Linked DNA regions of Lepisosteus oculatus. The protein of the gene in region 1 interacts with the protein of each later gene in a biochemical or structural test. Links are inferred from orthologs where the notes say so. Each region holds a gene or a part of one and is shown in the gene's direction. Other genes may lie near its edges.

Region 1 (7,759 bases):
TCACAGGGGATTGAGATTAAGGATGGATGATGATTACTGAAAGGAAGATCAAGAGTGACTTGTAGCTCCTTCACTTGGATAAGTATTCCAGTATCTAGTTTGTAAGGGGGCTGTGGTAGCTCAGACGGCAAGGGTGTTTGGCTTCCTGACCGGAAGGCCCCGGGTTCAATCCCAGGTAGGGGCAGGTGATGGAGCTCTTATTCCTTCCAGCTGGCTCCTAGGTCCACTCAGCCTGCTGTCCAAATGAGCACCAGGGGTTAATCCTTCCAGGGGTAGCAGGCTGGTCGGAGCGTGATCCTGACCACATCACCCCCACCTCCAGTGTCGGGTGGTTGAGGAAAATGGTGGCCCTTGCCTATGTAGTTTGCAAGGCTCCAGTGTCTCAGTAGAGAAGGTGTTTCTTGCTGATTAAAGTATAGTAGAAAGATGGTATAAAGGGTTACACTACAGATGGTGTCCAAGCAGAAAACAACATGTTTGTCTCATGTCATGAGACCTGGAGTGGTGCAGAGGAATACACCTATTCTGGCCTTCCCGGTATTGATAGAAGGTGGAAGAGCTGATCTGAAAGGTGGAAGAGGATTCAAGGGACTGTGAACCTAGGGGCTCTGTCAGATGAGCAGGCTTCACCGGTGCACCCTGGAGCTCGGAGGATGTCTGCCTGCAGGGGCACAACACTCAGATGGGCAAGTGTTAAGATGATTCACTGATTCAGAGTTGTGGTTTGTAGGTTGGTATCCACCACACTAATGTTTAAGTGCTTTCTTCTCTTTCATCTACTTTACACTAAGCATGTCATTTTAATATTCCTGTAACTTACACCCACAGCAGAGTTTCAGAAAGAAGTGATGTACAGTGCCTTGCGAAAGTATTCGGCCCCCTTGAACTTTTCAACCTTTTGCCACATTTCAGGCTTCAAACATAAAGATATAAATTTTTTATTTTATGTGAAGAATCACCAACAAGTGGGACACAATTGTGAAGTGGAACGAAATCTATTGGATTTTTGAAACTTTTTTAACTAATAAAAAAATGAAAAGTGGGGCGTGCAAAATTATTCGGCCCCTTTACTTTCAGTGCAGCAAACTCACTCCAGAAGTTCAGCGAGGATCTCTGAATGATCCAATGTTGTCCTAAATGACTGATGGTGATAAATAGAATCCACCTGTGTGTAATCAAGTCTCTGTATAAATGCACCTGCTCTGTGATAGTCTCAAGGTTCTGTTGAAAGCGCAGAGAGCATCATGAAGACCAAGGAACACACCAGGCAGGTCCGTAATACTGTTGTGGAGAAGTTTAAAGCTGGATTTGGATACAAAAAGATTTCCCAAGCTTCAAACATCCCAAGGAGCACTGTGCAAGCGATCATCTTGAAATGGAAGGAGTATCAGACCACTGCAAATCTACCAAGACCTGGCCGTCCCTCTAAACTTTCAGCTCAGACAAGGAGAAGACTGATCAGAGATGCAGCCAAGAGGCCCATGATCACTCTGGATGAACTGCAGAGAACTACAGCTGAGGTGGGAGAGTCTGTCCATAGGACAACAATCAGTCTTACACTGCACAAATCTGGCCTTTATGGAAGAGTGGCAAGAAGAAAGCCATTTCTCAAAGATATCCATAAAAAGTCTCGTCTAAAGTTTGCCACAAGCCACCTGGGAGACACCCCAAACATGTGGAAGAAGGTGCTCTGGTCAGATGAAACCAAAATCGAACTTTTTGGCCACAATGCAAAACGATATGTTTGGCGTAAAAGCAACACAGCTCATCACCCTCAACACACCATCCCCACTGTCAAACATGGTGGTGGCAGCATCATGGTTTGGGCCTGCTTTTCTTCAGCAGGGACAGGGAAGATGGTTAAAATTGAGGGGAAGATGGATGCAGCCAAATACAGGACCATTCTGGATGAAAACCTGTTGGAGTCTGCAAAAGACCTGAAACTGGGACGGAGATTTATCTTCCAACAAGACAATGATCCCAAACATACAGCAAAATGTTCAAAGGAATGGTTCACAAATAAACGTATCCAGGTGTTTGAATGGCCAAGTCAAAGTCCAGACCTGAATCCAATCGAGAATCTGTGGAAAGAGCTGAAAACTGCTGTTCACAAACGCTCTCCATCCAACCTCACTGAGCTCGAGCTGTTTTGCAAGGAAGAATGGGCAAGAATTTCAGTCTCTCGATGTGCAAAACTGATAGAGACATACCCCAAGCGACTTGCAGCTGTAATCGCAGCAAAAGGTGGCTCTACAAAGTATTAACGCAAGGGGGCCGAATAATTTTGCACGCCCCACTTTTCATTTTTTTATTAGTTAAAAAAGTTTCAAAAATCCAATAGATTTCGTTCCACTTCACAATTGTGTCCCACTTGTTGGTGATTCTTCACATAAAATAAAAAATGTATATCTTTATGTTTGAAGCCTGAAATGTGGCAAAAGGTTGAAAAGTTCAAGGGGGCCGAATACTTTCGCAAGGCACTGTATGTTAGAGCCCATCACTCTACGTCCTTTGGAGTTTTAACTTCAGTGCTAAGATATCTGGGCTAAATCCAATCATATGTGGCAATTCTACTGTGAAGCAGCATTAAGAAATTATACATTAAAACATGATGGTTATTGTTACAGTAAATCTCCTTGCTTTTTTTTTTTATCCATGACTGCCCCCTGGTGTACAGTCAAAAACGGGGCGTAGTCCCCAAGACCTGCTCAATGAATATACATCCGTGTGCTTTCTGATATTTCATCTTTCCTAACCGCAGGCGTAAGAAAATCCCTTGAATCAAGACTAAAACCATGAACAAAATTAAATTTAATTTCCGTATCCTAGAAACTTATTTGAAACTTCTAGAGTTAACTTATCTAGGGAAAACAAGGCTGTAATTTGTGAAACCCTATACATAACTGTAGCAACTTTCAAATATTCAGAGTAGCACCAGCAGCCAAGAAGCTTTAACCACCAGAGGCATGTATCATCAGAGAGGTCTGTTAATGAGTACCCTGGGGGCAGTATTGTGAGCAAAATCAATTTACTAGGAAAAGGGCAGGAGCACAAATAGACTTTAGATGGCAAAAGCAGTAAATAGAAATGGTACTGATACCTCTACATTCTTTTTTTATATGACAGAAATATTGTTTGGGAATGTTCCTCAGAAGATAAAATGGTATTCTAACAAAGTAGTTAAACTGGACATTAAAAGAAAGTTCAGAGTAACAGTAGTTCCCAGCTATGCACTGTTGTGGATGGTATAATGCAGTTGTCATCAACAACACGCAGAATAGGCGTGTATTTTCAAGTGCCTGTCCAGAGATGACAAAATCTGTCTTTTTTTCTGTCTTCATAATAGTCAATGAATTTCTGTGAAGCATTTTGTATGTGGAGTTAAATCCCTGTGTCTTATGTAAAGTGAAAAGGGAAAAACTGCTGGACAATTGCAAATACTGTTGTTATGACCAGAATTTGTAATCCATTGAAATTATTATTCCTCTTGATTTACACATTATACAAAGTGTCAAACCTTTTGCAACAATTACAGCTTCTTCGGTATGTCTGTATCAGCTTTGCACATCAGGATCCGGGGATTTTCACCCTCTTTTTTCTGGAGATGTGCTCAACCTCTGTTAAGTTGGATGGAGAGCATTGGTGAACCACAATCATCCACAGATTGTCAGTGGGATTGAACTCTGGGCTTTGCCTGGGCCACCTGTGGACGTTCACCTTCTTGTTCTGAAGTCACACCAGTGTCTCTTAGGCTGTGTGCTTGGGGTTGTTGTTTTGCTAGAATGTGACTCTTTTCCCCAGTCTGGGGTCTTTTATTGACTGTAGCAGAATCTCCTAAAAGATTTCCCTGTATTTGGCTCCAATAATTGTTTCCCCTATCCTGACAAGAGCCCCTGTCTCTGCCACTGATAAACTTCCCCATAAGATGATGCTGCCACCGCCATCTGTCATGGCAGGGAGAGTGTTACCTGACTGTGCCCCTGAGAACTTTCAACACCCGAGATGTGTTTTAATATTCATCCCCAGATCTCTGCCTCCTCATAATTCACAGAGGTGTACAGACAGCTCCTTGGTAGAGTTCCTGCTCTGACACACGCTGTCTACTGGAGGAGTGCTTCTTCAGAAATCATGTCACCTAATTGACCTGACTACAGGAACCCCATTCAGATTTCAGAGCGATCTCGCAAGTAAAGAAAAGTACATGCAGCAGGTCTCAATTTGGAGGGTCACAGCAAAAAGAGAGAACACTTATCAAATTAGGACATTTCAGTGCTTCCTTTTAAATTCCATGTACGATATGCTCAGAACTTTCATTCCACTGTGACATTACAGTTTGTATACTGTAGATCCATATCAATAAATCCCATATAAATGTATTTCTAGCTGTGTTTTGTTGCAGGCGACTGTCACATGCTTGAATCAGCCACCTTCCTCTACATCATTATACCATTCTGCAGCATGTCTTAAACTACAACACGTGGGCTTACTTATCTAAGACCCCATGACCTGTGTGGTTATCTAAAACCTACCACACCCCATGGCTTTTACAGGATTTATGTGGTAAGCTTGTTTTTATGTTTCGCCATTGCACTTTAGGTTAATATTGCATTATCGTATAGCCTATGCTGAACAGCATAGCAAGTCCCAGTTCCAGTTCTTTCTTTTGGGAAGTTACAGGTAAAGACGTTTTCATCCTTAGTATACCTTTAATGTCGTTGGATGTTAAATTGTTGAACCTAGAAGAATTTGTCATTTGTAGTTGATGAATAACATGAATAACATAAGGCAACTTATTTTGCAGTGTGAGTTGAATATCGTTTAGTTTATTTTGTATAACTTTTTAATGCTCTTTTTTCTAGCAGAGAACAGCGTGTCGAAAGCAGTGGTAATATCGATAAGCATACATTGTCCTTTGGTTGACACCATCGAGAAGATCTGTACAGATCGTGCACATCTGTCACAGAGTCACGTTCTGTACAGGCATTTACAGAATGTCACAGGTCATTTAAAAATGCGTAGACAGCATGTCTTCGTACTGGGGAGCAAACAGGAGCACTCAGAAAAAACCCACACAGCCACAGGGAGGACATACAAACTGTAGTCAGAATAAAACGGGTTTGATGTAAACAGTAGGTGCACTGACATTGTTCTTCCTGCTTTTCATCAGGGAATCAGCCTTTACTGTACATGTGTGATTAATGCTTAGCATCGCAGTTCTTTAAAATAATGGTATTAATGCATATATTTCATATATACATTAAAAATGTTCCACCTTTTATGTAAAAGGTGAAAGGAGATAAGAGAGAAAAATAAGTTGCTTATACACAGGTAATCGGGGGATTTGTTATAATAATAATAATAGTTGGAAGAAGAAGAATTGCTTACACTTACATAGCACTTTTCTGGACACTCCACTCAAAGCTCAAAGCTCTTTCCAAGCAATGGGGATCCCCTCCACCCACACCAGTGTGCAGCCCCACCCAGATGATGAGAGGGCAGATTAAAGATAAATGTTATTGTCCCCTAGGGGAAACGTTTTATGGACACGCATTGCTTCTATACATCTGAATACATTTCAAAACATATCATATCTATTGCACATGGGTAACTTATTACAAAAATGTCACAACATATTACACATACATAGGTTGTTACAGAATAACAACAGTTTATACTGAAACAATTGCATTTGCCATCGCCATTTATTTGTATTAACTGCTTTAATAGCTAAGTGAACAAATGAATATTTGTGTCTATTTGTGGCCATGAAATGTTTTCCAGAGGGAAGAAGTTGATATTCAGGATTTAAAAATATGAAAAGGATTTGCTAGAATTTTTCATTATGATTTGATTCAATTTTGATTTGATTCTGCCGGTTTGATTATGAGTTGTTCAAAAGTTGTCTGCAAGGAGGAGAGCTGTTTCACTCCCATAACCTTCATTGCTCTTTGGGCAAGACGGGTGATTTTTTATCCTAATTGGACTGATAAATTACCAAACCACACACTTACACCATATCTAAAAAAGGCACTCAAGAGGGGCTTTTTTTCTGTCCAACTCCAAGCACTCTTAATCTTTGCAAAAAAAATACAAATGTTGCTGTACTCTGGAGCAAAAACTAGTCTGACTTGGACTGAGTAGTCTAGCTCAGGTTGTTGTTTATGTATATCCCTAAACACTTACTGTACATGAACTTACCTACTGTAGGTACTAGGTTCCTCATGAATCACTACATTGGAAGAGTTAACAGCATTCGGATCGTAAACCATTTCTTTAGTTTTTTTCACATTCAAAGTTAGCTTTGGTTAGTCACACCCTCACACAAACCTATGCATATGCTCCTCTGTTTGAGATCAGCGGAGGTGCCGTGGTCGCCATCTTGTCCACAGTGTTTGTCTTGAGTGTAGTGGGGAACATCTCTGTGCTGCTGGTGTTGGCTACCATGAGGAACCGCAGAAGCTGCCTTGATGTCTGCCTGCTGAACTTGGCTGCCAGTGACCTGCTCTCCTCTCTGTCCCTGCCCATCATGGCCTTTGCTGTGGATTTTTGGAGACTTTCTGTGCAAAGCCGTCTCCGTACTGCGGGATCTGAAAGAGTACACTGCAAGCCCACTTTTACTCTTCATCCATGCCGGCATCATCAAGCCAATGAACAGAGTGGCTCTCTGCTTCATGGCCTGGCTGGTCAGGACCTTTCTTGCTTCACCAGCTGCACTTTTCCACAAAGTCTCCATGTCATCGAACGAGTCTCTCGTCTGCCATGAACACGACCACCCTGCAGGCCTGGAAGCACTCTGGCTTCCCTTCCACATGTTCAGATATGCAGTCGGTTCGGCTGTCCCTCTGCTGCTCCTCCTCATCTGGGCAGCATCACGCAGCCACTCCGCAACCAGCAGTCAAAACACTAGGAAAGAGAAACACGTCGTCTTTTTGGTGACGCTGGGATTTATTATGTTTCGGAGTCCATATAATATTTGTGCCTTTATTAAAACTTTAATAGAAGCAGAAATATTGGATAAGACATGTAAGATCTGGCAAGAGATTATGACTGCTTCTAACATCACCATGATACTCAGCTTATCACACTGCTGTATCAACCCTGTCCTTTATGTCTCATCCTGGAGGAAATTCAGAGAACACTTCCTTAAGATTATTACAAAACAGCCCAAGGGCCATGTCACTGCTGTTTCATAACTTAACATCATAATGGCTGGTGTCAGGAGCATTTATCACTTAATAACTGTATCTTGCTCTCCTTAGAATTACTCCTTTGACAATTTAGACCTTTTGCCTTTACTGGTATTTTTGTCAGACTGCAAGAAAAAAAAAGTATTCTTTTATTGTGGGTAGAAAAGTGATGTGAAATATATTTTTTAAAAAATCTAACATCAAATTGAAATAGTGAGCAATTAAAGGGCTTCAATAAAAAAATAAGAAGAATAGAGCTATAAAACCTTTGTAGATAGTAGGTACTAGTCTTTTATTTTGCAAATAAATATTTAGTATTTTCGTTTGACATATAAATAAAATGTTAGCTTGCATAAATAATAACCAATAACTATACTGAATAAGCATTAGTGGTTAATTTATATCAATAACACAGTAAGAACTGTAATCTTTATAATATGATATAAGATATGTAGTCCAATTTTACAGAACAAATCTTGACTTCCAATTTGGCAATTAAATATCTAAATTGTGTGGAATCCCACAGCTGATGTATATATTGTACTCTATATAACATTGGATTAATGAAATAT
Region 2 (7,388 bases), on another chromosome or scaffold:
TTCCTTTTAACAGCTATTTTAATATAGGAGAGTAAAGTAAAAAAGGTTTTAACCTTCGGTTAAAGAAATAGATTTAGATGCATTACAGTACCTTTAGATAAAATGAACTGTAAAATGAAGAAACTGCATTAGAATATCTATTAGAGTGTAAACACATTTTAATCACATTTCTCACCAATGAATAAAACAAGAGGAACACCTCACCTTCCTGAATGACGACACAGGATCAGCCATACCACGATTAATAATAATCCAGAGAACTCTCTTAGAGAACAGCAAAAAAAATGATACAGTGATCAACTAAGGTGAGAGAGATTAAAACCAAGTGAAGTGTAACAATACTTCCAAAAATAAAAGTAAAGGGTGATTACATCAATGGTGTATATAACTGTACTTAAGATTACATTCAATTCTTTTTTTTCTTGACCAATATAACTGACATGTTTAATTATATTTTCTTGATAGTTGTGTTTTCAGAACAGATGCCAATCCATTAGGATTTACTAAATAAAACTAAGGAATTAATTATAAAATCAGTCTTTAATATTAATTGCTCAAACCTAAGCCAGAGTTTACCTATGGATAGAAAAGTGACAATTACCTTCCTTCTTCTTTCTGGAAGATATTTTCAGCTTTACTTTTATACAAGGACCATCCCAACATGGCAGCTACAGCAGCACAAATAAGCATATGAAGATCAGATAGTCTCCTCCAGATTAATACCTCTGAAAAACAACACATTCATCTTGATTTTGCAAAGTTACTGAGCTACATAACATAGGAGGGACTGGATCAGCTTTCATGACATAAAAACAGATATCAGGATAGAGTCATACCTGTAATTGGAGGCTTAAGGCTTATCAGAAAACACAAAGAAGCTGGGATTGAATATGCAACCTGTAAATACAAACGCATTTATAATATTGGAAGTCAGGAAATAAAAACAGTCACATTTTACAAATACAGCCAGCAGGTGTCGCTCGATGTTTTTCAGAGGCCATTCAAGATGCATTTGAAGATACGCACTGGTAGAGTTCGTATGCTTTCTCTGAAGTGAAGAATTCAGTTTTATACTTCGTACTACGGTGTACTGTTTAGGACTCACCATCCATATGCCAGCATCGGGGTCATTGATCTGGAATAATCAAAAATAATTAAATTTATTTATTTTCTGTCTAGTTTGAAAGAGCAACAATGATAAAAAATAGTTTTAAAAGTGTTTTTTAAAACAAAAAACGTTTATGCCATGAGAGAAACAATACGTTTTTGGATGTTGAGTTATCCATACCGCATATTGCTCAAAATACATAAAATGCATTCAGAACGATGACATCGAATTCCTTAAGTATGACAGTGTTGAAATATATGTGCTTATGACTTCTAAATTCTAAAACATTAGAATGTATGTAACCAGCCTCAGTACTATTTATTAATATAAACAGCATACAGACACCCATAAAGATATAAAAGAGTTTAAACAAATATATAAAAACAACTGCACTTTAATTTCCAAAACCAGTCACATTTGTCTTTAGTACGGTACTTGCCTGCACATATGCCGCTAAAGCAAAGAAAAAAAACATACATAAATTGCAGCTTCTCCATAATACTTGAAAACACTCCGAAGACCCGCTTTTTGTTTTTCCGTTTTTTGTTAATTCGTATTTCTTGCTCATTTTACTTATTTTCTTCAGTACTTTGCTCAGAGAAAAGAAACTGCCATTATTGAGTTTGAGTCAGATCACATGGACATTTGCAATGCAGTTTGGGAATTATAGTTCCATTAGCTTAGTTACAGAGCACAAATGAATAGTATTGTACTGTGCATTGTGCATTGTGCATTAAGCGAAAGCACAAAGTTGAAAATTTTGGTAGATCTTGTGAGAATACTGTAGTAAACTGTTGTTATCTACTGTTAACAAACATTTAAATAAATGCATATTTATCGAGGTACAGAAGAAAAGATCTGGACATATGTCTTTAGAGGAACAATAAAGAATATTAAAATGCTGTTGTGTTGCTGTTATTGTAACTGTTCTCCAGTTATACTAGTTGGTCATGCACCTGCCATACTACCATGTTACCCTGGCAGACATAAAACCTCAGTGATCCGGACAATGAGCCAGGTCTTGCTCACTGCCATCATAAAAGTGAACTGTGCCTACGCAGGTCCACTCAGCCATTTAAAAAGCTGACTGTTGCAGCCAGTCTTCCACCTTCCTGATCTATTCCCATGCCGCAAGGAGGTCTGGAGGTGATGCAGGAGTTCTTCCTCCATCTCTCCTCCACACCAGCAGGGTCGAGGGGCCTGCCTAGTGCCTTTCATCTCTGTATGAATTTTCTGCTGCCTGGAGTCTTTCTTTGCTCCCCAGTTACATCTTCCTCCTGTATCGGGAGTCTGTTTTCTGTCAGCTGGCTCCTGGAAGACACTGGTGGTCCTGTGCTTCGCTTTTATTGCCCTTCTACTGACTTGCCTGTTCACTTTGAATTTTCATCCTGTAATCCCACTCTGACACCACTAACATTATTGTAACACTGCTCAGCATCTATGCAAGCCCTGAAGATAAAGGATATCTTCTGACTCAGACTGCAGCTCCAAAAGGGTGGTGTGCTTTTTATTTATCTGAAAGAGGCAGCTCAGACAATTGATGGCACCAACACACGGCCCCACAGACTGACACTAACTGCATTAACTCTCTCTCTCTCTCTCTCTCTCTCTCTCTCTCTCTCTCTCTAAAAGGGGCCCTTATACCCCAAGGACTGTGGTGATGTGACAGTGTGGGCAATCTCACACTGACGGTCATAAGCAACCACACCTACTGAACACAGTTATGAGCATTCTCCTCTCAGAAGAGTCATGCAAGAGCCAAAACATCACGCCATAGACATATAGGGATACAGGCATTATTAATATATATTTACATATACACATCTTTACCTAGGCAATATGGCCTCTTGGTACGCTATTTATGGATATGTAGACATACTACAGTACACTTCTATAAAGGCTTTTCTAGTCAATAATGCTGCAGTAAGAAATATAAGATCATATATTGGCCATATACAATTTCTTGTATTAGGAATTTGTCTTTTCAATATACCCCAACTTGCTCTCCGTGAGACATACAGACAGGGAGAGAGGCTTGGGGTCAGAGTGCAGGGTCAGCCATTTTTACAGTGACCCTGGAGCAGTTGGGGTTAAGGGCCTTGCTTAGGGGCCCAATGGGGTAGGATTTTTCTGCAGGCTGAAGGATACAAACCGGCAACCTTCTAGCCACAGGCGCAGATCCTTAACCACAGAGCCACTGCACCGCCCTAATAAAGGGACACATATTCTCCACTACACACACTACTCCACTACTCATCAATACTTTATAGAATTTAGAGAACAAATTTGTATTTACAATGACCCGGAGAGTACTCCTTTTTACAACATGGCATTTGTGTTTCTATCTCTCCTGTCTCCTAGTCTCCAATTCCCTTCTGCTTCAGGACCTCCTGAGACAGAAGGTCAAACTACAGTTCAATAATGATAATGTGGACATGTTGAAAATAAATGAAAGTTCTTACAGCTGCTGTAACTCACAGATACTAACCACTACTTAGCACTGCAGGTCCTACTGTAGTCACACTCCACATTCACACACTTGCCTGTTCAGTCTGAATTGACATCCTGTAATCCCACTCTGACACAACCTAAAATCCCCAAATCCCCAAAAGGAATAAACAACTACAGGGACCCCAACCCCCAAACGGCTACTATTTATAGCAGTCCAGTTATTTTGTTTTTATTGCAGCTATTATAGCTGCTTTGATTTATGTCAAACGTAAGGGGATAAAGGTAGTATTTAATTTTTGTATACGAAAATCTCCAAGTAATTATTCTACATTCAGCACTAAAATCATATTAGGTTGCAGTACTGCCATTTCTGGGTGGGGGAGGAGAGTATAACCAAATCCTTGCATAATTTGAAAATATGTAACTTAGATTGAACAACGGCTTTACTATTTATAAAGTGGGACTAACTACAACTCGCACCGCAAATGTTATGCCTTGTGTGTCTTGGCTCCTTTTAATTCAGGGCTTTCATTTATAGCACTAGGAGTGGTCTGGTGATTACTGTGGAATGGGAAATACTCGGACTTTATCAGACTTTATTGCTTTATTGTGGATTTTGAGGCGCTGTCAGACTACGTAGGCGGAAATTGACGGGCTGGTCACATAGAGTACTTCAACCGAGTACTGTATTGTGTAGTGCTGGTTTCTCAAGCTAGTTGTCTCGTGATTGCTCAATGGTTCAAAACTGAATAGTAGTTTATTATATAAATTGTATTCTGCTATGTTGAGTTTCGTAGCTAGGTGTCCTGCGAGACTTTGAAGGGTTTTAGACTGAAGCGGTGTAGTGCTATATTGAGTTCTGTAGCTAGGTGTCCCTGCCTGTGAAGGGTGAAGCCACTCACTGCATTGCAGCCTCAGTGCTGCTGCTGGAATCAAACACAACAATGGCGACTCCCAGCCCCAGCACCAACTCAACAACCTCTTCCAGCAACAACAGCAATAACGCAGGATCTACATCTACATCACATCAGCACCAGTCCCAGTCTCAGCACATAACAACAGTGAGCAGCATGCAGGGTAAGCGCCAGAAAACAAAAAGTCCGTAAACGTTTTTATTTTATCAGAATAATTGGAGAACATGATTGGTGAAAGTCTCACTGTGTACTCTAGTAATGCTGCACCGTAGCGATGCAGTTTGCATTTCCTTATCGCCACTGTTTGTAGGCCTCTATGTTTAGGAAGCTTTTAATTTACCTCTCCGTGGCATTTCTAAAATCCAGAAGATTGCGAGAGCGAGACGTGTTAGACATCGTGTTAAATCACTTTACAGATCTGGATTTCTATGGGGCGGTTTTCACTGAATGATTTTTATGGCCAAAGGCCTAAATAGTCTAGTTTTATACGGATTTTTAAATTATATTTTTCATTTCTTTTAAAATTCAGTTCCATTTTTTTACATTGCAAATGTGAAAGGTTAAACTCAGGGATACCGCTAGAAAGCTGCAGTGACCTGCTCAATTAAATGAGCTTTGTCATTTCTTGTGTTGTGTTATTTTTGATATTTCAAGGCCTCACGTGCAGTAAGTAGCCTGGTTCACATATACCTATGCTATTGAAGACTACTATGCAGTGCTTATTCTTGCTACAGGTTGTTTAATAATGGTTTTAGTACTAATGTTACGCCGCAAATTAAATAAAAAAATCGAACTCTGAAGCTGTACAAACGCTTTGTGGATTACTGTAGCAATTTCTTTAAATCTCCAGCCAATAAAATATTTAATAAAATGGGCACTGTAGAAAAAAATGTTGCAGATTTCCCTTCCTTTGTGTACATTCGATGGCCAGAAGATTTTATGAACTAATGCGCCATGATAATCATGTAGGCGAGATGAATACAGTCATGATTAATAACACATTGTTGCATTATACAAGGAATAAAATGTTTCATTTAAACCTTGCAGAGACCAACACGTGCTGGAGGTGTCAGAATGAAACAGGTACTTTATTATCTATTTTATAGGAATGTACTGTAGTAATGTTTTATGAACTGAGAAGTAAAATGTGTTTTTAAGTGCCGTGCTGTCAGACACAAAATAAACATCTCAATGTGGCTGCAGTGCTTGGGGATGTTACTAATGCATCTCTGTTGTGATAAAAGCCCTTTTGTATTAAATACTAAGGAAAGAAAGCATTTTATGTTGAAGCTTTTAAAAGAACACATACTGTATCCACTGTTTTTATCAGTTTATACCAGTGAAATAGTAGTCTACTCTTTATTAGTTCATGCCGTATATATTAACTACTTTTATTGTGTAGTATTAATTTCCGTAGGACTTATATGTGATTGAAATGCCAATATTTGCACAGTCAGCACATGGGTAAAATATGCAGGAAATTCCTATTCAAATAAGAGTAGTTGGTGAAAAAGTATTTATGTCCATTGGAATGCTTTTTACCTTGAATTTCCATATTGTTATGTGAAAGAAATGTCTGTGCAACGCATGCAGTATTAATAGATTACTCCCATTTTGTGTGTCCATTAGGTCAGGGGTTGGCAGTATGTTTTTCACTTTTAGTTTATGGCACTGAAGGAAAAGGTGCTGGCAAAAGCTGTTGTTTCATAGCTTAATATTTTGGCTATTGACTAAGTTTGAATTGATTGGAATCCCTTAGGAGTATTGCCAAAGCTTACCGAGCTGCAAGAAATCAAATTGAAGAATGCAGTTTGAGCACAGTTCTGCAATTGCCATGCGTTTGCTGAATTACAAGCCTTGTTAAAAGTGCAGCAGTTCCTTATTATTGCTGTGCAGCTGTGTGGCATAGTTACATAATTGTATCCTGCTAAAAGTCACATGAATGGGTTAGGTGTCCAAGCACATTGAAGATAGCCTACTGTAGATGAACTGCAGATAACAGAGATGGAAATACAGTCCAGGTGTAGAGGACTGAAAATAATAACTAGGCTTAAAGGAGGTAAGTTGAATAAAAGGAGTTTTTGGAAGTAGGTGTTAGTAACAAGCTATCCCATCATATAAGCAAAGCTGATTCTGTGTTATTCTTCAAAATACACCATGGTGAGGCCCTTGTATCAATTAGTTACTAGCACTACTATCATTATAAGTTGGCTTTTTGACCATTGTGAAGAAAGGAACAGCTTGATCTTTAGCTGCTAAGGTACTTTTCATGGGGAATTTTAATAAAACCATGTTGGATTTAATTAACTTCACAGTAGTTCAAAACACAAATTCTACAGTTTCTGCAAAGCTGTAGAATGAAGCTTTAAAGTTTTTGTTATTACTCAGCTTTAATTAATAGCTTGTATTAGTATTGACAGTGCTATTAAACTAGATTAAGCTTTCACATGTACATAAATACAGTATATTTTCTTCAGTCTCGTCATATCATAAGGCCTATACACATCTGACTTTGAAGTGACAGTACATATAGTGGGCATCAGAAAAAAAGCTTGTCACTCTTTATTTTATTTTCTTTTCCAACACAAAATAGATTTGAATATTAAATATGTTTTCACAATGTTTGATTAAATGATCAGTCATGACTGACCATTATGGACATACCTTACTTTGACTGTTGAATAATTGCTTAATCACCTTATTTGTCAGAGAGTTTATTGGGATTTGGCCATTTGACCCGTTGAATGTCTTGTGAAAATCTTGTAAGAAAACAAGCAGGGAAGTACATTTAAAACTAAGAATAGGAGGCACTTCTTTACATAACGTCTAGAACTAGAGCTGTGCAGCCATGTTTTTGATGCTGATAAACCTGGCTTCCTTTAAAAGAAGGAAGACATTTGGATCAATTAGCTACC
Region 3 (7,591 bases), on another chromosome or scaffold:
TCATATTTTTTTCCCTTTTAAATCACTAATGTGTTCCTCAAAAGTTGTGGATAAAACATCCTAATGTACGACAAAATGTGTTCATGAAGAGGGAGATGAGCAAGAAAGGGAGCCTGAACATTCCTCAGAAAGGTTTCTCTATTTCAAAAAGGAAAGAGAGAGAATATTTTCTCTTCACTATGTTATGGAAGCTTTTGTTTTACCTGAATGAGAGAAATTATTTCTAGGCCTCTACTTGAATTGCATTAGCTGCGCCCAAGTGCCTGGTTTCTATGGAAAACCAGCTTCCTGCACTACGTCTATCGTATCTCGGGGCAACCCCTTTGTGAAGCTCGCCAATCACAGGCCAGGGAGAGGGAAGAGATAAAAGAGACAATCAGAGTAATACTATTCCACAAACACCTGCCGGTACTGGTGCACCTGTACTGTGGATAGCATTTTTGTTTTTGTTTTATCAGTGAATGTGCACATTCAGTGGGTACATCAGTGGGCAAATAACCATTTTCTTTTATCAATAAAATAGTATTAGAATTTCAGGGAGGCTTTTTTTTTCTGGCCGCTGTGTTCTGTGTGTACAGGCCAGTTCAGGGAAGGTGCCAAAGCAATCCCTGTCCCAATTCTTGGGAGAGACTCACCTCAGTGACACTTGGGTATTGAGGAAATAACGAATGGGAGATTTTTGACTGAGGGACACCTCTAAAAGGGTTACTCACCCCCAGCCTCAAAATCCAACTTTAGTAGACCATCTTTGGCACAAAGGTACACCTCTCTTAACCTCCTAGTGGATTCTGTTAGACAGGTTTGGAGTTTAAAACAAAGGTGCCAAAAACTGAGAAGAACAGAAAATAAAATAACTTATTAAACAATCATGCCTTCCGTAAGAAATGTGATTTATTTTTAATCTCTGGATTACTATCGATCACGTTGATGGACAATGTAACCTGAAACAAGTACAGGCTGTGCTTAAAAATAACTTGTATTAACAAAACAAAGTTAATATTTATGAACCCCAAGTCCCAGTCTGTCCACAAAAGAGACGAAAGGGAATCATGATTTCAGCAAGGGGGGTAAGGATGGCTGACACAGGGGATTCGTGATGAGACCATAGAATAAAGAACTGACGCCGAAAAAACACTGCGGAAATCTGAAACTTGAATAGGGGCGATGTCAGTCTATTCAGGCAGAGCAGCGTTTCAAGGTGTCCGATCCGCAGGTTACAAAACTGAAACACCCCACGCTACACGCTTGTGACCTTAGGGAGGAAAAACAAGACTAGGTAACACCTCTGATGGCTTTTGATTTAGGCAAACGTATTTAAGGACAGGGGCGAATCGCCGAGACCACCCTCTGATGCGACTCACTTTTCTTATTTAAATGCCCTTTTAAATTATTTTAATAATGCCTTATGCTGTGCATAAGAAAATACCTTCAAGGTTTCTAATGTTATCCTGATCTGCATCAGGTCCGTAAAGAGTTCAAAGGTACAAGACAGTGTATGTTTTGGGGATTTAATATTAAGAAGCGTTCAAAAAACTACAAATGCCATTGATTCCAATATCCATCAGTTATATGTTTAATGCCTCTTGTATACCCTTTCTGAGACGTCCTCTGAGTCCTGTTGTTTTGTTCTTAAGGCGTCTGTTTGCTTTCTCTGACAGACAACACTGCGTTACCAGGAAGCGCAGGCATATCTAATGAACCACTGACAGAAGGCTGCTCTCTCACATCGCCACTCTTGCTGTTAACCGCAATGTAACATAAACGCTAAATAGAAAGCGTACGTTTCATCTGGGAAAGGTGATTTTATCTGCGCCGTATTTTGTGAACGTCTTAGTTAATAAAAAATGACACCAAGCTGTACAATATGTGATGATGTCGGCGTGTACTGTGTCTGGAACAATTTTGTTTACATATTTACTTTCGCAAAGACGAACCCAAATCAAGACGGTCATGTTTATTCTAACTTACTTTTTTTTTTTCAGAATATATACCGTATATTTTAATAATACCACGGGATCGAGAATCCTGACTGATGTGTAGGGGAACACTGCCTGTTGTGAAAAGCTAAGAAGTATTTTTTTCAATCGTATACATACTCTTGAAGGCATTTTGGTGCCAAACGTCAGAGATTTCTGGAGGGTTATTGCCGGCCTATGTAAGATTAGAATCAGTGAGAAACCTGGAAAAATAAGCATCAGAGCACATCACTGATTCATTTATAGGTGTTTTGTAATTAATTTAAGATTCCGAGGTGATTTTTGTGGGTTTAAAGTGACCATCAGAGTTCTAATTATGAGGTGTTAACCCATTACAAATGACCAAAAAAGGTCTATGGAGGACGTGGTATTATAGCAGCAAATGTTCAGAATGCCAGTGTAATTTAAAATCTCATAACTTTTTCATTGACTGTCATACGGAATCCCTTCTGACATTACTTCCTCACCTAAAACGTAATAAATACTTGACATTATCCTCGTTCTCTTTTGCACCCCCACCTCTGCCACTTGGTCCCTCCTCACTCTGCACAAGGGTCCCAGCCTCCTTGTGCAGAGTGAGGACCCCTGGCCAAATATCCCATTGGCCCTTACCAATCATGGCCTCCTAATAATCCCCATCTCTGAACTGGCTTCATCACTCTGCTCTCCTCCCCAATGATAGCTGGTGTGTGGTGAGCGGTCTGGTGCACTATGGCTGCCGTCACATCATCCAGGTGGGGCTGCACATTGGTGGTGGTGGAGGGGAGACCCCATTACCTGTAAAGCGCTTTGAGTGGAGTGTCCAGGAAAGCACTATAGAAGTGTAAGCTATTATTATTATTATTATTATTGCCCTTTACCTTAACCTTTCAATACACTTAATTCTTGGGTGTTGTTATTCCTATTGACGTGACTAGACCGCTCAGATCATCCCACTTTTAGTGATGATGTAACGACCTTCCAGAGGTGTGGTCACATGTCCTCTATCAGTGATGGGAATTGGTTTGCCTGTAATGTTTTACTATGCCTGAGCATTGTGCTGACTCCTGATTTTCACCAGTCTTGGCATTCAACAGGTTAAATATGAAAAAAAAAAGATTTTGTTCTGTCTAGAAATGGGCCACCATCCCTTATTGTCTTCACACTTCCCACAGTGATCATGCAGTTTTTCCAGTTCCTTTAGCTCAGTGCATATTTCTGAAGGTGTGTCTCCCTTCCTGACACTTGGCATCTCCTCTGTCTGCTCATACAATACCTGCTTAACTAAAGGAGAACCTGTTGGTCAATGATATCCATATTACCACCTGTAATATCGTTCTCTTAAAAATAATCTACACGTACAATTTACCCTTTACACTTTAAAGAAGGAAGACAAAAATTGTCGTTTTTGTTAAAATGAAAAGAGCAGTTTGCTTCTTATCGCAGAATAATTTTATATTAAACTCAACCACTTTGCCCGTCATTTTTTCACGTAATTGATGAAATGAATTCCAGCAGCCGTAACGCTGATTAAAACCGGATTGGAACAGGCGGTGAGCGACCCTGCCTCGGATACAACGCACGCCTGTGCAGAAGGGGTCCCCGGCACAAGGACCGACGCTCCCTTTCGATATGTGAGCCAGTTCGCGAATGCACATACTGAAGCCGCGCAGGAAAAGAAGGAAAACTAACGAGAGGCGGTTAAAAAAAAAAAGAGTGTTAAAGAGAGAGAGAAATACATTTGACATCTATCCTCAACATATGCAAAGCCCGACCCGCTAGTCAGCAGAGAGCTCTCCCACAAGCCCCCGCGCCAGTCACGCAGACAGGCCGCTCTGATTTTGTTAAGTCACCATGAGTCTTGGGATGGCAAGGCGTTGGAAAACACCGTCCCAAAGCGCACACTTCCGCTACCATATCCCACCCGCCCTCTTAAAGAGACAGGACTCGCCGTCATTCATATAGTCGTACCGAGTTTGGGCTGGAATAAATAATAAAAAAGAAAACAGCCCGCGGCGAAGCGATTTCCATCCCGCTGGTGGGGGAGGCGAGGAGGACGTTTTGCGTCTCTCCGGCCTCATCTCAAACCTGAATGGCGACAGTAGTGGCGGGTTTGAGCGGGTGTGTGTGTATGTGTATGTGTGGTTGTGCAAACGTCAGCTGCACTATGGCGGCCCTGCCACGGACGAGGTGGGAAAAGAGAGCGTGTTTGTTTTTGGGTTGCAAAGACCCCCCATTCCCTCGCCCTCCTCGAATCATAGGGCTTATTCTTAACATGTCTGAAAAAGAAGCAGGATAAACAAATCGTTATTTTATCTGTGAAGCTTGCCCTTCTTGTCAGATAGTAAGTGGGTGGCTACCGGCTGGTCAGTGATTTCCCGGGCCGGACCCACCCTCTCTCTCCCCCGGGCCCGGCGCTGACTCATTGCGCCCGGCCTGGAGAGAGAGAGAGAGAGGGGTGGGGGCCGGGCTCTCCTTGGCTTATAAAGCAGCTCCCCGCACACACACACAAAAAACACACAGTCTCACTCGCACAGAGCCCGGACGCTGGGATAACAGCGGTGTTATACACTGTTAGTTTTTGTTTTCGTCCTGCCAAAATGGTTCTCGAAATCGAAGATAAGGTGAGGAGTCCACACGGTTGGGGTTTTTGTTTTTTTTGGGACGATCGCCGAATGCTTTTATTCCCAAATGGTGTCTAGTTGCATGCAGATTACCTTGAATTTGTGTGTGTGTGTGTGGAGGGGAATTTTCTGTAACAGATGCATTTAGACTTTGCGTTGTCATTGAAACCTCCTGAGCCGCCGATCGAGAAATATTGGATACATTTATTGCGCGAACAGGGTCTTGCGGTTTCAATGGCCAAGGAGTATGATCCGGCCAATGCGGTTATGTGAGGTGGCTCGGGAGAGGGGGGAAAAAATACAGTTGCACTTTAATCATCAGGTGCGTTTCTTCTAGGTTTTCTGTTCCGCAAATGGGATGGTGGAAGCTTATTTTTCTGTAAGGGTGCATATCGCTTCGAGATCAATTAAACACTTCCAGAAATAGTCCCTCCTGACTCGGCAGCGCGCCAGCCCCGCCGTCAGAGATCGCCATGTTTGACGTCTGCCTTTTGAAATTGCTATTGTAACTTTATATTTTATAAGTCGCACCCTTCGTCGTTCCTGTCTTCCACCCAGCGTGGTTTTTAAGAGTGCACGCTTTTTGTTGTTGTTTGTTTTAACCCGGTTCTCTTCGGTGACCTGTCATTTCATTCGTACCGCCGTGCAAGCCAATTTAAAAACGCTGGAAACTTTCGGCGTTATGAAATCTGGTAACATATGGGATACTACATGACAAAAGCTGATTGTTCTCTAGTATTATTTTCGTACATGAATGTGTTTGGGGGGGGGCGTAGAGTTCAGTACTGGTTTGTTTTACACACCCAGAAAATAACTCACGAATTGCAGATCTTTCTTGAGAGGCTGTGTAAGCCAGCGGCACCCACAACGTGTTTTGCAACAGCAAACCAGTTCACCGCTGAATAAAGAACAACGCGTCTTATCGGTTTGTCACAATTACCAATTTATGGCGCTGCACGGAATTTTATTTCCTCAATCTCCTTCTTTGGCGGAAAAAATATTCATCCTCTACTTAAAAAAAAAAGATCTGTCACTTGGCGCAGCGTGACGCGTGGATGTTTGAACTTCATTAACTGTAGTTGGGACCTCTCGCTGACCCCTGTATCCCCCAAGAGAGAGGGACATGTTGGAAACTGTAGCTACAGCCTTTCTGGTTTATTAACATTAACCCAGCTAAACGGGGAGGAGGAGAGAGTAGCGAAGGCAGTCTGTACTTGTTTTGCAAGTCGCGCAACAAAATAGGGTTCTGTCCCAGGAGGTTTTAAGATGCAGAAGCACCTCCAGGAGTACTAAAATTAACACCATTTTAAGATGTAGGAGGTGGGGAAACAGGTGGAGGAGGATTATTATTTTTTTTTTTAATGAAATTAAAAAAAAAAAGCCGTATCCACAATTGTAGAGAACACGTGGAGGCGAGCAGCTGGCTCACTGGGGCGGTGGTTCTGACGCCGAGTGGCGCGCTGGAGGACTCGGCCCGCTTGCGTTATCACTGCGCTTTAGCCGGTAGTAGAAATTAAGGCACACACCACCTTTTTTCAAATTAGACGATTCCCCCCTCCCCAAGTATGTCAACGCTTTAGGGAACGGTGTCAAAAGTTGTCCGCAAGCGTCACGTTTTAGGTCACTCGTGTTTTAATTTTTTTTTTTCCACGTTCTAAACTTTCAAAGCTGAATGTTTTCAAGGACCTTACTGTAGGGGTACTGGATTGGGTTAGGTTCAACAGGCAAAATGCAGTTTTATGTCGTTTAAACTACCTTCAAAATACTGAATTTGTTTCACTACTAATCAGAGAGTGGTGAAGGTTGACATTTGAAACCAGCATGTGTTTTTTTTTTTCCTCCACTGGTTCCTCCCATAGTCATGTCATGTGTTGTCATTTATCAAACTGCTTTATGCTATACTGTGTCGTGGGAAGCTGGAGCCTAGGCATATCCTGCCTTGCAAGCAACGAGCGCAAGGCAGGATATGCCCTGGACAAGGCACCAGTCCATCGCAGGGCAAGTGCAAGCCAATCGTAGATGGGGACAATTTGGAGGCCATGGTAAAGGCCGAGGGGGGAAATTTGGCCTGGACACCAGGATAACTCCCTACTCTTATCGAGAAATGCCCGGGGATCTTTAATGACCATTGAGAGTCGGGACCTTGGTTTATCGTCTCAGCCGAAAGACGGCACCCACTACAGTATAGTGTCCCCGCCACTATCCCGGGGCATTAGGACCTAGACAGACTGCAGGATGGGGGTGGGCCCCCCCCCCCCGCTGGTCCCACTAACACCATTTCCAGCAGCAACCATAGCTTCCCAGGAGGTCTCCCATCCAGGTACTGGCCAGGCTCAACCCTGCTGAGCTTCAGAGGGGTAGCCAGTTAAGAGCTGCAGGTTGATATGGGTGCTGGCTCCTCACTTAATGCGCTACTTAAATTTGTTAATTAGCAGCTTGTTAAACCATAATTTAAAATTGCACAAATACATTTAACAGGTAACCAGGCCACAGAGAGAATGTGCACTTGACATTGTTAAATTCAACATGTTGAAACCACTGAGGTGGTAGCCTCAAATCTTGCCTAATTTCGGAGTTTAAAAAAAAAATTTGTAGGAAAAACATGCCATCTTTAGCTAGTTCTCAACAGCCCCGTTCTTTAATTTTACAGACTGCTTTCGATCAAGCCCTGAAGGATGCTGGGAGCAAGCTTGTCGTAGTGGATTTTACAGCCATGTGGTGTGGACCATGCCAGACGATTGGACCGTTTTTTAAGGTGATTTTTCCTTTATTGCAGAAAAAGGGTTAAGAGACACCACTACCTCAGTATCCTTAACAGTGGTGGAGAGAACAAGGAAATGACAGTTTTTTTTTTGTTTTTTTTTTTACACTGCAGCTGGTTGAGTAAACGCAGGTTGTGATTTATGGTGTAGCCTAAAGTAATGGAGGATGTTGTCAAGGTGTTTGCACAATCAAGTCTTTCATTAGATGGGGCACACCTGGGCTTAATAGTGCATTCTGCAAGCACAGCTT
Region 4 (8,424 bases), on another chromosome or scaffold:
GTGCTGTGTGACCAGACACATTAGGTTTAACAGCAGTTAAGATTTCTGCAGTCATATTTAATTGTTTTATATTAACACAGTGAAGCTCTGATTATTTATTGTTATGCACAGGTACACTTGTGTAGATCATTGTTTTAGAAGCATTTTCATTGTGTATTAAATACTCCAGGTAACGTGATCAGACTCTTGGGACATCTGAGGGCTCAGGAAGCGGAACTGTTTTGGTAGTGGAGCTAAGTGTTACTGCACACTGCCCCCTGGTGTCTTCCAGTGATGGAGCAAGGCAAAGGCGGGATGTTCCGGGGGCATTGTAAGGCCCTGGCCCAGAGTGAAGACTCCCTGCAGGCTAACCATGCCCACACCTCCTGGGTGAAAAAGAGGTTTCCTAAGCACCTTTAGGGGTTCTTGTGTAGCAGAATTATCTCACCGAATTGCTTGAGATGGCTGTTTACCTCTGACTATCTACAGCAGAGTACAAAGCCAAGTATCATCATCTACAATTTGGGCTATTTGGACTATCTGATGGGCTGATAACAGGAAAATAAGTGTACGGTTGTGTTGTGAGAATGTTACCAGCACAGCAGTCACCCTTGGCAGAACTGGGGGGTTTCATATCTGTAATTGCAACACACACCACTGGGGGATGGTTAACATTCTTTACTGTCTATCTTCTTTCACTCTGACCACAGGAATCATTTGAAAAGACTGCATGGAGTTTACTCTGCAGTAGGTTTGAATCACTCAGGTTTTAAAGATGAGTTGATCAAAAACTGAAATTGCTGTGCTCAGTGCGTACGGATGCCTTCATCTGTCCAGGTCTGTCTGTCTCTGTGCTTCAAGCCAGCAGGAGGATGTGACCAGGGAAAGCAGGTTGAGGAGAGAGGCCGAGTTCCTTGACCAGCAGTTACAGCAGGGTTACCAGGAGGAGGCGCTGTTTCTCAGGAGGACAATGGAGATCACTAAACAGCAATACCTAATGAGGTAGAGTCCTAAGTCAAGCTGAGCCTTGAAGGATTTGTAGGATTCTTACAATTGTTAAGGAGAAGTGGTGGAAGACTAAATAGTGGTATCTGGGCATGATTAAACCATGAAAAGCCTTCTGCTGCTGACTGATTTTGCATCCTCCATGGCAGGCTGCAGATGCTTGAGTCGGAGCTCAGTGTTGCAGAGCTGCAGCGAGACCGAGCGAGGAGGCGGAGCAGAGCTGCACGAGCAGAGTGGGAGGCTCTGCTGCAGGAGAACCGCTCCCTGATCACAACACTGCACCGAGTGCGAAAAACACTGGAGCAGACAGCGCAGCAGAGGCAGCAGGCAGCCCTGAAGAGCTGCGCGACGCCGGAACGGTACATAACCACCTGGAAATGAGTGCAGCAGCACAAACCTCAATGGCCAAGATCCCGATCCCCGCTTGAGCTCTCGGCCTGATCTCTTGCTCTCGGTTTTCGGTGCACTTCATTGTTAAGAGTTTGTCTGCTCACGGAACAGAAAAAAATAGATGCATGCAATTCTGTGTGACACGCTTAATAGTTCAATACAAATTTGTGTTGTGCTGTTAAAGTTTTCAGAGCAGCATGATGGCACAGTGTTTATCATTGTTATCTTGCAGTGTTGGGGCCCTGGGTTCAATTCCTGGGGTGTTATCTATGAGGAGTTTGTATGTTCTCCCTGTGCTTGTGTGGGTTACCTCCGGTTGCTCTGGTTTCCTCCCACAGTCAACAGACATGCTGGGTGGTTCGTTGACTTCTGGGAAAGTTTGACCTGGTGTGAGTGTGTGCCTTCGTGTTTGTGCCTGTGATGGACTGGCATTGTGCCCATTCATTTCTGGGATAGGGTCCAGCTCCCCTGCGACAACTGTACTGGATAAAGTGGTTAGAAAATGCAGCTATATGCATTATATCCTTCCTACAGTGCACAGAATCTCTGTTCCATGCTTCACAGCCACTAAATCCCTCAATTCTCCCTGCTGTCCGCACCCTCCTACAACGCTGTTAAAATTAATAACAAAAAAGCTATTCCTAATACTAAATGTAAAGTACTAAAGGCTCGTTGTCGCCCTCTGCTGGTGGCGTCGCTTTCCGGTTTTCCTGTTTATCTGAAATTAAAACGCAGTATCCAGATATGAATGATTTCGTAATATAACATATATTCTTAATATTCTTAAACAAAAGTATTCAGAGATCAGATAACGTCTGAAAAACAAACACTGACATTATACAGCAATTGCAACGACCTTTATCCAAGGCGACTGACTTAAAACAATCCTAAATTGTCACAACGAAGCATAACAACTTCAAAGCCAATTTTAACAATGTTACAGTAGTGCAATCAATGACAGTGCTTTTCAAACAAAGAAAAGAGGAAATTATTTTACACAAAGGGCTGTCACGAGTCCCGAACAAGCCACTCAGTCGTTCTGCTGAAGCTGACACCTCATCTCCTTTCAGAAAGAGCAGGATGAGATTCAGGGATGAATAAAGAGCTACTTGCAACCCAGCTATCTAAAAAGGTCGTTTGACCTCTTCCCGTTTATATGAAAAATATATGAAAAAAATATGATATATGCTAAAGTTAATCATATATCAACATAAACTACTGAACCGACTAGATGTGACGCAAGGTAGAGATTAAAGAGAGGAGCTGCAAAATATGACAGAAATCATAACCGCGTTTCAGGAATTCACAGTAAAACCAAGATGTCTCTGTTCTGATGTCAAGAACAGTGCTGATGACTGCAATTTTAAAAAAAAAATGTTAATGTTAACTAAATGTGCAATCGAATCGATTCACCTTCTCATTACTTTGATATTTACACGGGATTTACAGTACATACAGTATGGTCTAATTAATTGTATGACATTTTACTGTTTAATGGGGCTGATCGTTCAACAGATGCTTTAGCTCTGCTTGTAACGCAATGAATTTATTTTCAGGAAAGAGGTATTTCTCGATTATGCGTTTCACATCGTCCTCCTCGATCGTTTCAAAGTCCTCCTGGTTCTTAAATGGCAAATGTCCTGCAAGCTCACAGAGGGCCACGTTGAAGGCAGACTCCTCTTTCGCTCCGAAACAGGAGATCCGAGGCCACACGACTATACGGACACCGGGACGGGCCGAGTCCGGATGAGGATGATCCCCAGGCGGGCGGCCACGGGTTAGGAAGAGGTTGTGAGCGATGTTCCTTTCCACTAAACTGTCAGTGAGCTTACAGACGTATTCGACGGTTGCACGCAAACCCTCGCCGTCTGTGTAAAACATGAATCCGGCGGGAAATTCAGGAAGGAGATGAAAGCCCCTTTGAGGTATGAGTGGCTCGGTGCGGGCGGATTCAATGCGGAGCTCATGGTCCAGGTAGTAGCCGTGGAGGTGTAAATGGTTGACGGAGGCAAATGCGCCCAGGCTGTTAAATCCCACTCGAAAGCCCGGGTGAGAACTCAGTAGAACCGCCTCGATTCCGATCCGAACAGCGCCCGGAGTGAGAATCTGGGGCAGACACCGGCTCGGGTCGGGAATGAGCAAACAGTGGCCGACTTCCAGTGGGCTCACGTTAATCACGACTAGGCTGCGGGCGAGATCATCTGCGGTACCGTTCTGGTAAGAACATGTCTCCCCCTCTCTGGTTTCATCGCCTTCACTCGCGTCACACGCATCTCGCTTACACAATTCAAAAACGATCTCCCCTGGCTGTATTTTATTGAAGTGAAACTGTTTTGCGTCAAACCTCTGGGAGATGCTTAGTATCTCTTGCGGTTTCCTGCGTTCCTTGCCCCGTGAGATATTTAACTGAGCAACAAAGCGATGTGGACCAGGTAAAATCCGTGTCTGTAAATCCCCGAGGTGATATCGAAATAGCCCCTGGACCATCTTTTCAGTCCAAGCGGACCTTAGTGTTAAATCGAATTTAGACAGAAACTGTGAATGCTTGCATTTGTTGGAATCGCCCGGCCAACAGACATTGTGGACAAAATGTTTGTCACTGTACAGAAACTGGTGGATGTGAGTCATTTCCATTAAGCTGAACGTTTCAGTCTGGGTCCGAGCTCCACTCCCGAAACCTGCTCCGAGTTCCTGGACACCGGTAAACCAGGAACAGGGAGACGCCATCGTCCTATATTGATGACATCATTAATGCGTAAGTAAGTGGAGGACCCCATTGTGGATACCACTAAACCGCCTGAAGAAAAAGAGAAATCCTAAAAAGAATATTCGTTTTGAGAAAAACAAATCACTGGATAGTCTCGCAGATAATATCAGTTAGTCTAGGAACAGAGTTAAATAGGTGTGGGAAACCACTAGTTAGAAGCTAAAATAAGATATATATCTTATTACATAAATATAATTGTAAATAATTCAAAATGAAAGCACCGCATAAGTAATACTAATGAACATACCCAAATACGTTTGAATACATATTTAATTAACCCAAATACGTTTCAATACATATTGTAGCGTTTTCGAGTTCACGCAGGACAAAAGACAAGTGGAGACGAGATAGCGAGACAAGTGATTGCTTTACTTTCCCATTCAAACCAAACCCAAAAACAGGATTTACACACACACATAAGGGGACCGACGGAACACGTACACAGGTTGAGGGTGGTAACTCGTTATCAGAAGACTATACACTTACAAAGCTCCACAGGACGCTTAAACTAATATAACACTGTTTACATAAGCAGGGTCAGCTGCTGGTCATCGTGCTGACCCTCAGACTCCCCCCCCGCCTACAACTCCCAGCCTGCTTCGCGGTACCCGAGGGCGCTACAATATTAATAAAGATTTAAATATTTATCATAAAACACAATGACAAAAAATTGAGATATTACCAATATTAACGATGTTATGTACAGTAGCAAAAATATGTATCAAAATTCTTCAGATAGGGTCATACAAATACGCACAGTTTTGGCAGAGGCCTCACACAACTTCGTGCGACGGCTTCTTTTGTAAATCCGTTTCTACGGCAACTGTTACGTCATTGCAGGAAGAGGAAGTGGAGAAAGTTTAGCAAAACTTCTATATTCGATTTCGACGTGAAAAAAGTTGGGTCTGAACTTTTATTTGATTTTAGTTTGAGCAAACTATGGGGACATCAGCGAGCAAATTACCAAAAGACTTACTGTCAGAATATCAGGTAACTGATCGAATTACATATTTATTTTAAAGGTTCTTGGAATAATATTAAGGGTTTGCTTTGTTGTGATAAAATAACGAGTTGATAGAGAATATATACTGAGGATCAAAATAGACTTATCACTCTATTTATGTAAGTATGGCTTTAGAAAAATAAATGTACGGATGTTGGATATTGCTTAAATGTTTACTATGTCATTTTGATTAACTGATCATTCATAACTAACCGTGATACACTCGAATGACTAACTTTTCATAAGATCTTAATCTTAACGTAATTAGTGATTGATCAGTCAATTGATAACGGAAAATGAGGTCATTTAACGTGTTGAATATAAGCAAGTGAATATGTTCAGCTTATCAAGAGTGTAAAGGCGTTCAAATGCCAGGATCTCACCTGCTGCCTATCTGCGGGCTCATCCAGCGTTCTAGCGAGACCCTGCACATCCTCATACTGCTCGTGTACCTTAGCACAAACATGCGTCCTGCCAGATGGGAATGTGACATTTATGCCGTGGATACTAGTTACTACTTTCCAGACCTGAATCCCATTCAACATTTGTCACATGAGCTGAGCTGGTACTGTGTGGCATCTAGGGCACAGAGACCAGTGTCTGAAATGTCTGACAGAGACCAGTTTTCAGACATTAAGAAAGAACTGGGGCAGAGTCAAAGAAAGGAGCACATTTAACCTGATCCATGGAATTGATCACAGACGTACACCTAGCATTGCTTCCAAAGATGGTCACTCCTGCTACTGTCCAGTCACTTTCACAGCTGACCCCATGTTGATGACAATTGTCAGTCAATATAATGCATTTACCTAAATTATATGTGTTCAATAAAACATCAGTGCACCTGCTACAAAAAATGTAATTTTCCTGATAATACCTTTGTGAGTTTGTCAATTACAAGTGATAGGTTATCTTTAATAACTTACAGTAAATAATGTGGTTATTATGCTGTTTCATTACCCATGTAACCCTTTATACATGACACTACAAATGTATCCATTGTTCATGAATATTGTTTCATAATGGCACATTAACAAGATTTTTACAGAAAGAAAAACTTGACTGTACACACATCAGAAATAAGTTTGATTCATGTTTTTTTAATACACTTGCTTTTGAAAGTATACCTTTTGCATTATTAAATAATTAATTTCTTCACATTTGAATTGATAACTGATTATAGATTAATAACTTAACACTAGAAAATGAATTAATAAAAATACATTTTAAACCCAAAGTAAACAATATATACTACTATAATTACTATATATATATATCTAATAAAAATAATTTGTTGATATTTTGCATTCCAGGAGCTGACATTTTTAACAAAGCAAGAAATTCTGCTGTAAGTACTTTCATTTTTGGAATTTTATTATCTTGCTGTAGTCCTGTTGGTGTAGACTAGATGATAATGTTATCTGAGGAGCAACTGTTACTTCCTGGTGAAAATGGACTTTGCTCTCTAGAACTCCAGGCTGAATTTCACCTGCACTTCAAGCACATTTATATAATTCAATATTGTCAGTCCCCAGCCTTAGACAGGGTGACTACAGGGTTCTGAACACATGAAAACGTACAAAGACAATGCTGTGTGATATTTGTTTAGAATTAGTAGATCCTAGATAGACACCTTTTCCTTCCGTGTTATTGTCAAATTCAAGCAATCGCCCATATTGCTTCCTAAAACCCCCAAAATACTAACCTTGTGAAAGTCTTTTATATAACCAGACCTCATTAACTTTGCTAGACTCACAGAAACTGGGTTCAATTCCTGTGGTGCTATCCACAGAGAGGTGTTAGTGGGGCCAGCAAGGGGCGCTCACCCTGCTGTCCATGTGGGTCCTAATGCCCCAGGAAAGTGACGGGGACACTATAGTGTAAACAGGCGCTGTCCATCGAATGAGACGTAAAAAACAAGGTCCTGACTCTCTGTGGTCATTAAAAATGCCTGTTATCCTTGATTGAAACAGACTCTGGATTTTTAAATGTGCAGTGTTTTCTACTTGGCTTCTACCTTCCTTTTTTTTCCATTTGTTTTCAGTGCCCACAGGAAATTCACCGAGCTCCTTTCCAGAGAAGAGAGGCAGTTTCCAAGTTCCAGGGTATCCATGGAAAAGATCCTTTCTCTACCAGAACTAAAGGTATTGTACTGCAAATCCCTTCAATGCCAGTATTGCGGATATTTTTTAAAGTTGGAAGTTCAGACATTCAACTTTAAATAACTTTTCTTGAGGTACACTTTGTATACTCACTGGTCTTAGATATTCACAGTACATAAGAAAAGGTGAAGTTCAGCTTGCACTCCAGTCTAATGTACTGTACCATGTAAGACACACCCTGCTGTCAGGAAAAGAGCTGGGGGGCTTTTCTGTCATGAAGCAGAACAAGTTCCGAATTGTCTCTTCTTCAGCTATTCTGCCTCGTACAAATAAATCTCTGATGCTTGTTGAATGCGGACTTTATTATACTTGGGAGATGCAATCATTTTGTCAAGCAGCCAAATGAACTAGATGGTCTGAATGAGCTCCTCTCCCCTGCAGCATTCTTTATGATTTTAATGTTTTTCTCCCTCACCAGTGTAATCCATTCCGGCAGAGGATCTGTCTTGTGTTCTCTACCTCAGAAAATAAAGATGGCAGCCTGTCATTTGAGGACTTCCTAGACCTCCTGAGTGCCTTCAGCGACTCAGCTACCCCCGAGATCAAATCACACTATGCCTTCCGGATTTTTGGTAAAAGCTTTTAGTAAATGCTGGTATATTAAATCAAAGGTATATTAAGACTTAAAGCTCTGAACAGCTGAAGTCAAAGCTTTTTTTTCCCAATTGTGAAGATCAAAAGTGCAAAAGTATTGCAGTTTGGTCAAATTGCAATTTAATAGAGCATTTAGTGGAGCCCTAAGAAAGGTAAGAATAGTTGGCACAGAAATGTATATCTAAAGTCTACTAGGTAAACGACTTTTACTACAGAAAGTAAAGTAGCATTTATATCTTTATTTTTATTCTCCCAACAGGAATACTAAACCGTGTTGTTGAGCAGGGACAATCAGATTCTTTTAAAACTCGCTGCAAGATTCAAGACACTGTTAATCTTTTTCTCTGTGTTTTTTTTATGGATCAGACTTCGACGATGATGGGACTCTGGATCGGGCTGACCTAGAGAAGCTGGTGAACTGCCTGACTGGAGACACAGATGAGACTCGTCTGAGCGCAGAGGAGATGAGACAGCTTATTTCCAATGTAAGTTGACAGAAAGTGCAGCTTTGCCTCTCACTCAGC

The links.
Region 2: of the proteins of map3k5 (region 1) and map2k4a, one has a biochemical effect on the other in vitro, tested with the Homo sapiens proteins (3 studies listed by BioGRID). The link is inferred for Lepisosteus oculatus from reciprocal best matches to the Homo sapiens genes MAP3K5 and MAP2K4.
Region 3: the proteins of map3k5 (region 1) and txnb form a complex in vitro, tested with the Homo sapiens proteins (3 studies listed by BioGRID). The link is inferred for Lepisosteus oculatus from reciprocal best matches to the Homo sapiens genes MAP3K5 and TXN.
Region 4: the proteins of map3k5 (region 1) and calcium and integrin-binding protein 1 form a complex in vitro, tested with the Homo sapiens proteins (2 studies listed by BioGRID and IntAct). The link is inferred for Lepisosteus oculatus from reciprocal best matches to the Homo sapiens genes MAP3K5 and CIB1.

Annotation. Positions count from the first base shown.
Region 1 is NC_090697.1:4,797,257-4,805,015, forward strand, and holds the start of map3k5 (mitogen-activated protein kinase kinase kinase 5), read left to right. Parts: upstream 1-4,590; 5' UTR 4,591-4,677; intron 4,678-7,759. UniProt on the Homo sapiens protein: Serine/threonine kinase which acts as an essential component of the MAP kinase signal transduction pathway. Plays an important role in the cascades of cellular responses evoked by changes in the environment.
Region 2 is NC_090704.1:37,383,103-37,390,490, forward strand, and holds the start of map2k4a (dual specificity mitogen-activated protein kinase kinase 4a), read left to right. Parts: upstream 1-4,236; 5' UTR 4,237-4,503; coding exon 4,504-4,636; intron 4,637-5,520; coding exon 5,521-5,556; intron 5,557-7,388. Other genes in the region: tmem220 (transmembrane protein 220), read right to left, coding at 205-264, 602-725, 837-897, 1,106-1,135, 1,548-1,676. UniProt on the Homo sapiens protein: Dual specificity protein kinase which acts as an essential component of the MAP kinase signal transduction pathway. Essential component of the stress-activated protein kinase/c-Jun N-terminal kinase (SAP/JNK) signaling pathway.
Region 3 is NC_090696.1:72,010,418-72,018,008, reverse strand, and holds the start of txnb (thioredoxin b), read left to right. Parts: upstream 1-4,449; 5' UTR 4,450-4,555; coding exon 4,556-4,579; intron 4,580-7,229; coding exon 7,230-7,334; intron 7,335-7,591. UniProt on the Homo sapiens protein: Participates in various redox reactions through the reversible oxidation of its active center dithiol to a disulfide and catalyzes dithiol-disulfide exchange reactions.
Region 4 is NC_090700.1:60,939,667-60,948,090, reverse strand, and holds the start of calcium and integrin-binding protein 1, read left to right. Parts: upstream 1-4,969; 5' UTR 4,970-5,080; coding exon 5,081-5,131; intron 5,132-6,457; coding exon 6,458-6,492; intron 6,493-7,188; coding exon 7,189-7,288; intron 7,289-7,724; coding exon 7,725-7,878; intron 7,879-8,266; coding exon 8,267-8,385; intron 8,386-8,424. Other genes in the region: gdpgp1 (GDP-D-glucose phosphorylase 1), read right to left, coding at 2,866-4,101. UniProt on the Homo sapiens protein: Calcium-binding protein that plays a role in the regulation of numerous cellular processes, such as cell differentiation, cell division, cell proliferation, cell migration, thrombosis, angiogenesis, cardiac hypertrophy and apoptosis.